Macaca mulatta: one gene and its partners. The protein of the gene in region 2 interacts with the protein of the main gene of each other region in a biochemical or structural test. Links are inferred from orthologs where the notes say so. Each region holds a gene or a part of one and is shown on either strand. Other genes may lie near its edges.

Region 1 (4,013 bases), on a different chromosome or scaffold from region 2:
AAATTTGCAAAGCAGGTAAATAATACAGTCTTATTCATAACCATAGATTAACATAAATTTAAGGCTTTTGGGATAACAGTAAGGGCCAGGTAAGAAACGGGCCCCAAGGCAGGGTGTGGTGGCTCACGCCTGTAATCCCAGCACTTCTGGGAGGCTGAGGCGGGCGGATCATGAGGTCAAGAGATTGAGACCATCCTGGCCAACATGGTGAAACCCCATCTCTACTAAAAATACAAAAATTAGCTGGGAGTGGTGGCACATGCCTGTAGTCCCAGCTACTCAGGAGGCCGAGGCAGGAGAATTGCTTGAACCCGGGAGGTGGAGGGTGCAGTGAGCTGAGATCACGCCACTGCACTCCAGCCTGGCAGCAGAGAGAGACTCTGTCTCAAAAAAAAAAAAAAAAAAAAAAAAGAAAGAAAAGTACAGCATGGAACAAGACAGAACAGAACAGAGAAGGATACCCAGTTAAAAAGTTATGAAGAATCCTTGTGGGTTTCTTTACTGCATTAACACCTCAGGGCTGTTAATATAATCCAGAATTAGAATACAATACAGTTTCCCAAGAAAATTTGGCTGCAGAGTTCATAAGTATCATATGAGACCAGTGTATCCAACACTGGGAAAATAGAGCTTTAAATAAATTATTATAAAGTATTGCTCAACATTAAATAACAAGCATTAATTTTTTAATTAAGAAGATCAGTAAATTGTATATTCTATTTTGTTATAACAACTTACAAGGAATCCTTACACACTGTTGGTGGGAATATATTATGGAGGTTCCTCAAAATATTAAAAATGGAACTATCATACAATCCAGCAATCTCATTACTGGATATATATTCAAAAGAAATAAAATCAGTATGTTGAAGAGATGTCTGCACTCCCATGTTCACTGCAGCAGAATTCACAATAGCAAATCAGCCTAAGTGCCCACGAATGGATGAATGAATAAACAAAATGTAGTGTGTGTACACAAATACACATACAATCACAATGGAATACTATTCAGGAAATCCTGTCACTTGCAACAACATGGATGAACCTAGAGGACATTATGTTAAGTGAAATAAGCAGGAACAAGAAGATAAATGTCACACACTTTCACTTATATGAGGAATCTAAAAAAGATAAACTCAAAGAAACTAAGAGTAAAATGGTGGGTTTCGGAGCTGGCAGGGGTGGGCTGGAGCATGGATTGGGATATACTGGTCAAAGGGTACAAAAGTCAAGTTAGGAGGAATAAGTTCAAGAGCTCTACTGTACAACGTGGTGACTACAGTTAATAACACTGTTATAGTCTTGAAATTACCAAGTAGACTTTAAGTGTTCTCACTATAAAATATGACAAGTGTATGAGATAATGCTATTAAAGTCAGAGTTTGAGTCTGACTTCCTAATCTCTCAATATTTTCACAGATTTAGGAGAAATCAGGCAAGTCCAACAGAATTCATTACTTATAAAGCGATACCTATTTTATAAAAAGTTATGTCCTTCTAAATAGTTCGAGATTTTTCTTATATAAAAGATACATTTACACGTGTACCACTGTATAGCTGCTCTTAAATGACCCTATGTAAATCACAGTGCAAAATTATATAACACAAATAGGAACTCCATTAACTTATAAAATCAGAATGCCCACCTGATTATCTGAGAGCCACATAGCTGTCAATTGCTGTAGCTTTGTAAAGCTAAAGGGCAAATTCTTTAATCTGTAGGAAAAAATACAAACAAAAATTAAACTTTAAAATTTGAGAAGATTTAAAATGAATGAGGGCTCAAAGGTTTTCTGAAAAATGCTGTATAGTTGCACATGAAAATAGGAGAAAAAAATCTAGAAAAGTCCCATATAATTATTTGTACAGGATATAAGACAAAATATCTAGTTTTACAAGAATTCGTTTCAAAAATATTAATTCTTTAATTGAATCAATTCACCTGGCAAGAAAATGGACAACAGAATAACCTTTAAAAATAACAGTTAATTGTCCCTGCCTTAGAGAAAAGAACACATTAAGGAATGTCTCATAAAACTGCTTTGGTTTATTTGTACTCAGAACAAACTGTTATAGGAAGCACTCTTAGTGATAGTTTGATATAAAAACTGCACTGCTCTCTATTTGTGAGCCAGCAGTTATGTAATCTAGAAGACTATCCTAAGATGATAATGAGTAAAAACAAAGTGCAGTCATTCATCAGTATCTGTGGAAGACTGGTTCCAGGATCTCCCTCAGACACCAAAATCTGCAGATGCTCAATCCCTTATATAAAATTGTATAGTATTTGCATATAACCTATGTACATCCCCCCCATATATTTTAAATCATTTCTAGAGTACTTATAATACCTATTAGAATACAAATGCTATGTAAACAGTTGGTATACCGTACTGTTTAGGGAATAACAATGGGAATGTTGGTACACGTTCAGTACTGACACAATTTTCTTCCAAATATTTTCGATCTGAAGTTGTTTGAATCCACACTTGCAGAACCCACAAATACAGAGGGTCAACTATAAATACTCATTAGAATACTAAATGAAAATACCCTATTTAAGAGGGAATTATCCAATTCAGCCTTGCTATCTTATGCCTAACTAGTCTTCCATGGCTTTCTTTCAAGGTAATTTGCACAACCTACTGTGAGTTGTAGGAATTAAAGGGTCAAACACTGACTTAAGAAAGCAGTGGTTCTTTTAAATAAAACAGAAGTTAGAATAACATAATTAGTAAAAAAATTGAGTTTAAATTAAAGCTCTACCTTATAAGCTATGTGAGTCACCTTAAATCTGAGTCTTAAAACCCTCCTACATAAAATGGCAATACTATTATACTATTTCATAGAGCTGTTTTGAAGACTTCACAAGACACTATGAAAGCAAAAAGTGAAAACACTCTACAAATGCAGTTGAATCATCATTAGTATGTTTACCTCAGGAAAAAGTATGGACATTCTGTTTTTAACTTAAACATTGTTCCAATTTACAACCTTAGTGATCAATTTGCTCTGCATCTTGGCTTTGCTGAAACCAGATTTCTGTCCAGAAAAATATTAGCAACAGACTAGATACATTCCAAAATTGTTTTGTTAAATAGCAATATTAAGGTGAAGATGTGACTTTAGGAATAAAAGGTAACTGTAAGGAGAGAATAAGGAATATATAGCTAAGTCAACCCACAATGAACAGTAACAACCACCGTATGATAAATTAACATCAGAAAAATTAGACCACTCCTTGTATTTAAAGAAAAAACAAAAATACACACTTAAGACCTCATTTAATGTTACTGATAAGTTCCTGGAAACCACAGCTTTTGCAAAACTGTGTATGGCAGGTCCTCAAATAATGTCATTTTCTTAAAACACTGATGAACGAAAGAAGTGATTTCATTATAAGAAGTGATTTCATTATATGTTGTTTCACTGAAAGTCACACTTTCCAAGAGCCTATCAGTAACATTGAGGACTTACTATGTATATTTAAAGAGAAACAAGCACTAGTTATTCTATTATATATCATATGAAACTTAATTTCATCTAACCAACATCTCCTATAAACCAACTGATGAATATAGTATCACAAACCTATTGTCACTTAAATTAATGACTTTTAATTTTTGCATATCACCCATTTCCTCTGGAAGTGTCTCAAGTTTATTGGAATGGAGAAACAGCACAGTTACATTTTTCCAGCTTCCAATCTGAAAGAGAAATATAAACTGAGGATCAAAAAATTTGGCCTACAGGTTGATCAACACATAAAAACATCATTTTTGAAAGTTATGAAATATACTCCATATTTATAAAAAAATAATGATTAGACTTTCTAATTATTAACTTTTATGTACATAAAGCATTTAGGAACCTCTTCTAAATTAACATAGCTAATTATTATTCAGAAAATAAATAACTTGATAAACTATTTTAGAAAGAAAATAAATGAAGCCACACTAAATAGCTATAATGAAGATAATCAGAAAAAAATGAAAAGACAAAAATCTAGATAA
Region 2 (4,113 bases):
GGCAGAGAGGGAAGCAAGGGCAGAAGATGGGAGAGGTCTGCGCCCAGGCTGACCTCCATCTTCTCTGAGCCCCAAGCTGGTCTTTTTGTTCTCCCTGGGTACCAAGGTGACCTCTGATCCTTTGGGCCCCTAGGTGACCACTGACCCCCACCTCTAACATGACGAGGGTTGCCTTCACAGCCACGGGCTCATGACTCACTTTGCCAAACGATCCCTGGCCCAGAACCTTGAGGAGCTCGAAATGGGATGGATCAGCCTTCTCAGAGCCAGCCTTGACGTGGTGCGTGATGGAGATCTCCTTGAGGACGCCCTCATCCTGATGGAGGGACAGAGCTGGTGGGCATGGTGGGCCCCATCCGGGCAGCAGGAGTTCCCCTGCCCAAGGCCATTCCCACCAGACCTCAGCAGATGAGACCTAAAGGCCCAACAGACGACTTCCCTGAAGGGCCAGCCTCCAAGGTCATTGATTTCAAAAGGGCCTCAAAGGCTGGGGAGGTCAAACAGAAGAGGCACCACTCCTATTGCTCCCGATGCTCTGGCCTGATTAGGCCCAAAGGGATGCCCAGGCATGGCCAGGCTGAGTCAACCTCAGGCTCCGGTTGAGACCCAGAGACCTGCCCCAGGTCTGCCTGTGGGGCTTCCCTCCCCCTGCTGCTTTAGGGTTGCCACAATAGGAAGTAGGTTTGTTCTCATATGGGGAGGTAGAGCTGGGCCTTCGTTCCTGGTCAGGATGGGATGAGGGGATCCCTCTGGTCAGTAGGACAGGGCTGACGTGCACAAAGACCCAAGAGTCACCCAAACTCCCCCATCAACTTGGTAAGTGCTGGCCTGGGGCAGGTCAGAATTAAGGCCAGAGACTGCATGGCTCATCTTCCCAAACTTCCTTCATACAAACCTACTAGAAGCCCCTTGCCACGTCCTAGCCATTCCAGGACTCTACCCTCCCTCTAATCTGCTGCCATTGCCTTGAAGCCCTGAAGTACCTCCTCACTTACCCAGGAAGCAAGTCTGGGCAGGGTCCAGTCACCCCGCAGGGCCAGGCCTGGGCCAGGACAGCCCAAAGCCAGATTACGCTAAGCTGGCTTCCCAGGCACCTGCTGCGAGGGACACAGCCAGGCCAGGACCAGACATCTGGGTACACTCACCGAGTCCCGCTGGGGGCCAGAGCCAGGGCCAGGGACAGGCAGAGAGGTCTGGCTGATCCTGGGCCGCTGCTTCCTGGGCAGCCAGGGGAGCAGGGCCCAGAGCCGCAGACGGGGCGGCTTGGGATCCTGCTCCATCCGCCCAGCAGGGCCACGGCACCATGGCAGGAGCAGGCAGAGTCCGGGGCTGCCGCGGTGGTGGCCGGGACCAAGGCGGATGTGCAGGGTGAGGGCGGGGGCTGGGCCCGGCCCAAGGGAGCCAATCACTCAGGGCCTGTGGTTTCCCAGCACCAGGCCTACACCCTCACCACGTTCCCTTCCTCTCTCTCCCCCACTCCTCAGTGCCCGAGGGCTGCCCTCTGGCCATTCCCCCATCCTCCCTGTGGGTCTGCAAAGGGAAAGCCCTCTGCCAGTGCAGCTGCTGAGCAGACAGGTACCCAACAGCAGCGAGGTACCCAACAGCAAACAGGTAACCAACAGGCAAAGACAGGTGCCTCATATGTGGAGGCAGATGAAGAGAGACACTCAACAGGCAGAAGCAGGCACCCAACAGGTGGAAACAGATGAGAATGGCATCCATCATGTCTGTAATCCTAGCACTCTGGGAGGCCGAGGCAGGCGGATCATGAGGTCAGGAGATCGAGACCATCCTGGCTAACACAATGAAACCCCGTCTCTACTAAAAATACAAAAAATTAGCTGGGTGTGGTGGCGGGCGCCTGTAGTCCCAGCTACTCGGGAGGCTGAGGCAGGAGAATGGTGTGAACTCGGGAGGTGGAGCTTGCAGTGAGCCGAGATCATGCCACTGCACTCCAGCCTGGGCAACAGAGCGAGACTCTGTCTCAAAAAAAAAAAAGAAGAATGGCATCCAACAGGCAGGAGCAGGAGAGAACACATACCCAACAGGCAGGGATGGATAAGGACACGCACCCAACAGGCAGAGGCAGGAGGAATTCATATCCAATAGAAAACAGATGGAGATGTGTACCCAATAAGGGGAAGCAGGAGGGGACTCATATCTAACAGACAGAGGTGGACAGAGACTCATCCCCAATGTGTGTAGGCAGATAAGGATACAAACCCAACAGGCAGAGACAGATGGGGCACAAGCCCAACAGGCAGAGACAGAAGGGGACATGTACCTAATAGGTAAAGACAGATGAGGACATGAACCCAACAGGCAAAGGCAGAAGGAACACATCTCCAATAGGCAGGGACAGAAGAGAATTCCAACCCAACAGGCAATGACAGAAGGGGACATAAACCCAACAGGCAGGCTGGGCACGGTGGCTCACGCCTGTAATCCCAGCACTTTGGGAGGCCAAGGCAGGTGGATCACGAGGTCAGGAGATCGAGATCATCCTGGCCTACATGGTGAAACCCTGTCTCTACTAAAAATACAAAAATTAGCTAGGCGTGGTGGCAGGCGCCTATAGTCTCAGCTACTTGGGAGGATGAGGCTGGAGAATGGCGTGAACCCGGGAGGCAGAGGTTGCAGTGAGCCAAGATCGCGTCAGGGCACTCCAGCCTGGGCAACAGAGCGAGACTGCCTTGGGAAAAAAAAAAAACAAACCTCAACAGGCAATGACAGAGGGGGACATGTATCCAACAGGCAGAGACAGATGGTGACTCGAACCCAACAGGCAATGACAGAAGGGGACATAAACCCAACAGGCAGAGACAGAAGGGGACAGGTATCCAATAGGCAGAGACAGAAGGGGACATGTATCCAATAGGCAGAGACAGATGAAGACATAAACCCAACAGGCAGAGACAGAAGGGGACATGAACAACAGGCACCTAACATGTGACATGTGCCCAACAGGTGAAGTCAGGCACTTATCAAGTGGCGAGAGAGATTGGAACCCAACCACAGACACAGGAAGGCAGCAAAGAGAGACAGCAGGAGAGGCAACGAGCCCCAAGCAGACTGACAATACCTAGGGCAGATAGGTCTGACACCTGGCAGATACACAGGCAGGCAGCAGGGCAGGGATCCCCAGGAAGGGGTTAAGGGCGGAACTGTGGGTTCTTGCTGCTGTACCTGGGGTGGGGAAAGAGATGAGGGGATACAATCTGCAAACTCTCACCATTCAGGAGAGGACTCTGGTATTTCTTACAGACCCACCTCTGAGGTTTTCCATTTCCCTAGGATTTTCCTCCTATGCCAGGACCTGAGGAGGGCCCAGATAGTGGCTGAGAGGACTATCTCCTGAGTGCAATCTGATGTCTTTGACTCTGATCATATCCTAAAAACTGGTATCCTCATTCCAGGAACAGGGAACTGAGGCTCAGAAGACAGTGACTCACCGAGGCTCAAAGCAAACAGTGGCAGAGCTAGCTTGGACCCAGGTGCCTCCCTGCTTACTGCCTGGCCTGGGGTCAGCAGGCATCAAATGCCAGGAAAGGGTGGACAGGTAAATCAGCCAGAGCCACGTCCTGCCCACCCGTCTACCCAAACCCCCTTCTCCTTCAGTACTAGAGTCCACCTGGGACCTCCCACTATAGGTCCTGTCCCTCGGAGACACAATCTTGTCTTCAGGGGAAGATACCTAACCCTCCCTGACAGATGGAGGAGTGGGTGGAACAGCCCCACAAAAACACCAGAGAGCCGCAGTCAAATCAGACCCGAGTGTAACCTCCTGGCAGGACAGGCAAAAAGCCTGGCTCAAAGAGGGACTGAGGGGGGGCCAAGGACACACAGCAATACCTGCACACCCCACCCTGAGATCTGAGCCTCTACCTCATCTGTCTGCCTCTGACTGAGAGCACTCCCTGGGGACAGAAGCAGGAAATCACCCAGAAACCCCAGGGGACAGAGCCACCCCCAAACCCATTCCTTGCCCAGTCACGGTGACAGACACTGCTGGAGGCAGGCGACTCTTCTGCTCACCTTTCTGGGACAGGGAACCAAGTCTCTCTCAACTCTGGGGAAATCTGCCGGGGTCTGCATGGTGGGGCTCAGGCCGGT
Region 3 (3,542 bases), on a different chromosome or scaffold from region 2:
CACCACCAGAGGCTGGACTGATTCTCTGTGGATCCATGAGGCCCTGCCATGCCTGGGGCCAGGGTTGGTTCCCAGCTGGATGCTGCTCACCTGCCCTTCCCTAAATTGACTCGGTCTTATGGCCAGCGTGGACTAGACAGAAATAACCAACTCTGAGGGCAGCCCAGGGTCCTGGGTTGGCTTAGCCTTGGGACAGAGCTTGAGGGTAGAGTGAAGGTGTTGGGTGTGTGAGGTCCCCGCCCTTTGGCTGGGGTGCTGGGCCTGGACAACCTGGTAGTCACTACAGGCCCAGACGAATGGCTGTGGTTCTGTGTGTTTGGATCTAGTAGGAGAGATGTCAGAGGAAGTCTACCGAGAACCATGAGAAGTTGGAGGAGGGAGTTCGGGAGTTTTCCTTGGAGTTACTACCCACTCCTCTCCCCTTTCTGGCTAAGGTAGGATGCTGGAATTCTAGCATGCCCCATGGAGCAAATCTAACCCCCTTGTCTGCCTGGCAGGGGACACCATCGCCAGCGTCAATGGCCTGAACGTAGAAGGCATCCGGCATCGAGAAATTGTGGACATCATAAAGGCGTCGGGCAACGTTCTCAGGTATGTCTGGGAGCCGAGGTGCCTGAGAACTCCTGAGCTCAGCCTCTTGGTATTTCCTCAGCCTGTGGCTCACTCAGCCTTTGATTCCCCAACCTCAGACTGGAAACTCTATATGGGACATCAATCCGGAAGGCGGAACTGGAGGCTCGTCTGCAGTACCTGAAGGTAGGGAAACCCAGATAATGTCCAGCCTCCACCCTCCTCTTCCCAAGCCTCTGCCCTGTGGGGGGTCATTTATATCTGAATCTCCTTTAACTGAAGGTTTCTTCTGTCTACTCCCTGACCCCTTGTCTGTACCCACGTCCTGCTAGTTTCCTGCTAGCTTGTGACAGTGGGGTGGGGACTGTCTCTTGCAGCAAACCCTGTATGAGAAGTGGGGAGAGTACAGGTCCCTAATGGTGCAGGAGCAGCGGCTGGTGCATGGTAAGTAGATCCCGGGGTGTGAAGGGCCACTTGTTCTGCTCCAGATCCCCCATCTGTGCTACCCCCTCAGAACTGGCGGGTTCTAGTAAAGAAAGGTTTACTAGTAAACCTCCACAGTAAAGCAAGGTTTGTTGAGCTACTACTACTTTGGGTACTGCCGCACCCACATTTCTGGTTATTCTCACACTAGCCCTCTGCAGGTAGTGTCATCTTCACTGTACAGAGGGGAACACCAGGGCTCAAAGAGTGTGTGTCAATTCTTCCCGAGGCCCTTTTGTGCTAAGCGGCCCCCATAAGGATCTAAGTGATAATTCCTGATTTGCGGGTGAGGGAAGTAGGGTCTCAGGGTTGTGCCTGGCCAGGGCCACAGAGATAGATGGTCAGCAGGACGGAGTGGGGATGCCCCATCCATGCCCTCCGACCCTTTGCGGAGGACACTACGGCCCAGGCCTGACCCACCCCCCCACCTCTCCCGTCTCTGCGCAGGCCTGGTGGTGAAGGACCCCAGCATCTATGACACGCTGGAGTCGGTGCGCTCCTGCCTCTACGGTGCGGGCCTGCTCCCGGGCTCGCTGCCCTTCGGGCCTCTGCTCGCCGTGCCCGGGCGTCCCCGCGGAGGCGCCCGACGGGCCAGGGGCGACGCCGACGACGCCGTCTACCATACGTGCTTCTTCGGGGACTCCGAGCCGCCGGCGCTGCCGCCCCCGCCGCCCCCGGTCCGCGTCCTGGGTCCCGGCCCCGCTGAGACCCCTGCAGTGGGGCCGGGCCCTGGGCCGCGGGCCGCATTAAGCCGCAGCGCCAGTGTGCGGTGCGCAGGCCCTGGCGGGGGCGGAGGTGGGGGCGCGCCGGGCGCCCTCTGGACTGAGGCCCGCGAGCAGGCCCTGTGCGGCCCCGGCCTGCGCAAAACTAAGTACCGCAGCTTCCGCCGGCGGCTGCTCAAGTTCATCCCCGGACTCAACCGCTCCCTGGAGGAGGAGGAGAGCCAGCTGTAGGGGCGGGGGCGGGCAGGGAGGTATTTATTTATTTATTCGCAACAGACAGCGCTAAAAGAGGGGGAGGCCGAGCCAAGAGGACCCCAGGAGCCCAGAGCAGCGGGAGAAGGTCGTTGCTAGCCTCAGCCCACCGGGTCGATTCCTGGCTGGTGTCTGCTGAGGGAGTGGGGGGCCCAGACCCTTCTCTTCTCCTCCGCCAAACCACAGTGGGAGCTGGGGCAGGGGGAGAGCCAGGAAATCGGGGGCCAAAGATGGGGGTGCTTGCCTACAGTCTGCATCTGTAGTGCCTTGTGGGGTATCCAGGAACACCCTCCCAGCAGGGGATGGGGACCTTGTCCCATGAAGCCCTCTCCTTAGCTTTACTTGCTCCCCCGCCCTTAGCCTTGGGGAGAAATGGCCCGTGGTGGGCTGACCCCCCACCCTCCACACACAGTTCCATGACCCAGCGGGCCTCCAGGGGCATCGGGTGCTGGTCCTCCTCCCTCCTGGCCTCGACCCCTAAGGGCTTCGCCCCTCCCAGGGGCCTGTAACTAAGTCGGGTCCTGCCAGGCAGGGGGCCTGTGTTCTGTGCCCCTTGGGGGACAGGAACCGGCAAGTTCAGGTGGGGTGGGGACAGCACAGACTGTTCCACCGTTCTGCATATTGTTGCTTCTGAACCACAAACTGTATAAAATGGATGGTTTTTTGCATCTGTGTCAGTGTGGTGACTGCCTGAGGGGGAGGATTGGGCTGGGGCAAGCTCTGACTCCACCATCCCAACCCCCGCCCAACGCACACACGTCTTGTTTTCTTGCAGCCTGAAGCCAGGGAAATAGGCTGGGAGATTTAAACTTACATGTATGGGCCTGAGCTGGAGGCCCCACACTTCTTCACAGCTTGAGCCTCCCTCCCCAGATACCCAAGCAGGTGGTGGCCAAGGCTTACCTCAAGTCCTCAGCCATCCCTGTAGAAATACGTGTGCTTGGCACGCCTTCCCAGCTTCTGAGGTCTCCCTTGAGGGGCACAAGCCAGATCTGCAGGGACTTGAGGCATTACCACCTGGCCTGTGACGGGCCCAATCACGGATCACCCTGTTGTTCTAGCAGTCTTCAGCGGTTTCCCATAATCCCAGGATGAGATTGATTTTTTTTTTTTTTGAGGTGGAGTCTCCCTCTGTCACCCAGACTGGAGTGCAGTGGCCCCATCTTGGTTCATTATAACCTCCGTCTCCCGGGTTCAAGTGATTCTCCTGCCTCAGCCTCCCGAGTAGCTGAGATTACAGGCAGGCGCCACCACACCCAGCTAATTGTATTTTTAGTAGAGACGGGGGTTTCACCATGTTGGCCAGGCTGGTCTCGAACTCCTGACCTCAGGTGATCTGCCCGCCTTGGCCTCCCAAAGTGCTGAGATTACATGCATGAGCCACCGCGCCCGGCCTCCCAGGATGATATTCTGACCCCTGCTGGCCTCTGCTTCTCACTCCCTGCTCTGGCTGCGCTGCTGGCTGTACTTGGCACACTTCAGACCCCTTCTATCAGGGTCTCTGCACTTGCCCCT

What was found.
Region 1: the proteins of RPS6KA1 (region 2) and ERBIN interact in a test that uses a peptide from one of them, tested with the Homo sapiens proteins (2 studies listed by BioGRID and IntAct). The link is inferred for Macaca mulatta from reciprocal best matches to the Homo sapiens genes RPS6KA1 and ERBIN.
Region 3: the proteins of RPS6KA1 (region 2) and TAMALIN interact in a test that uses a peptide from one of them, tested with the Homo sapiens proteins (2 studies listed by BioGRID and IntAct). The link is inferred for Macaca mulatta from reciprocal best matches to the Homo sapiens genes RPS6KA1 and TAMALIN.

What each region holds. Positions count from the first base shown.
Region 1 is NC_133411.1:74,125,477-74,129,489, reverse strand, and holds part of ERBIN (erbin), read right to left. Parts: intron 3,708-4,013; coding exon 3,592-3,707; intron 1,717-3,591; coding exon 1,647-1,716; intron 1-1,646. UniProt on the Homo sapiens protein: Acts as an adapter for the receptor ERBB2, in epithelia. By binding the unphosphorylated 'Tyr-1248' of receptor ERBB2, it may contribute to stabilize this unphosphorylated state.
Region 2 is NC_133406.1:214,442,608-214,446,720, forward strand, and holds the start of RPS6KA1 (ribosomal protein S6 kinase alpha-1), read right to left. Parts: upstream 2,348-4,113; 5' UTR 1,281-2,347; coding exon 1,146-1,280; intron 317-1,145; coding exon 200-316; intron 1-199. UniProt on the Homo sapiens protein: Serine/threonine-protein kinase that acts downstream of ERK (MAPK1/ERK2 and MAPK3/ERK1) signaling and mediates mitogenic and stress-induced activation of the transcription factors CREB1, ETV1/ER81 and NR4A1/NUR77, regulates translation through RPS6 and EIF4B phosphorylation, and mediates cellular proliferation, survival, and differentiation by modulating mTOR signaling and repressing pro-apoptotic function of BAD and DAPK1.
Region 3 is NC_133416.1:59,194,710-59,198,251, forward strand, and holds the end of TAMALIN (protein TAMALIN), read left to right. Parts: intron 1-497; coding exon 498-591; intron 592-689; coding exon 690-756; intron 757-947; coding exon 948-1,014; intron 1,015-1,500; coding exon 1,501-2,006; 3' UTR 2,007-2,695; downstream 2,696-3,542. UniProt on the Homo sapiens protein: Plays a role in intracellular trafficking and contributes to the macromolecular organization of group 1 metabotropic glutamate receptors (mGluRs) at synapses.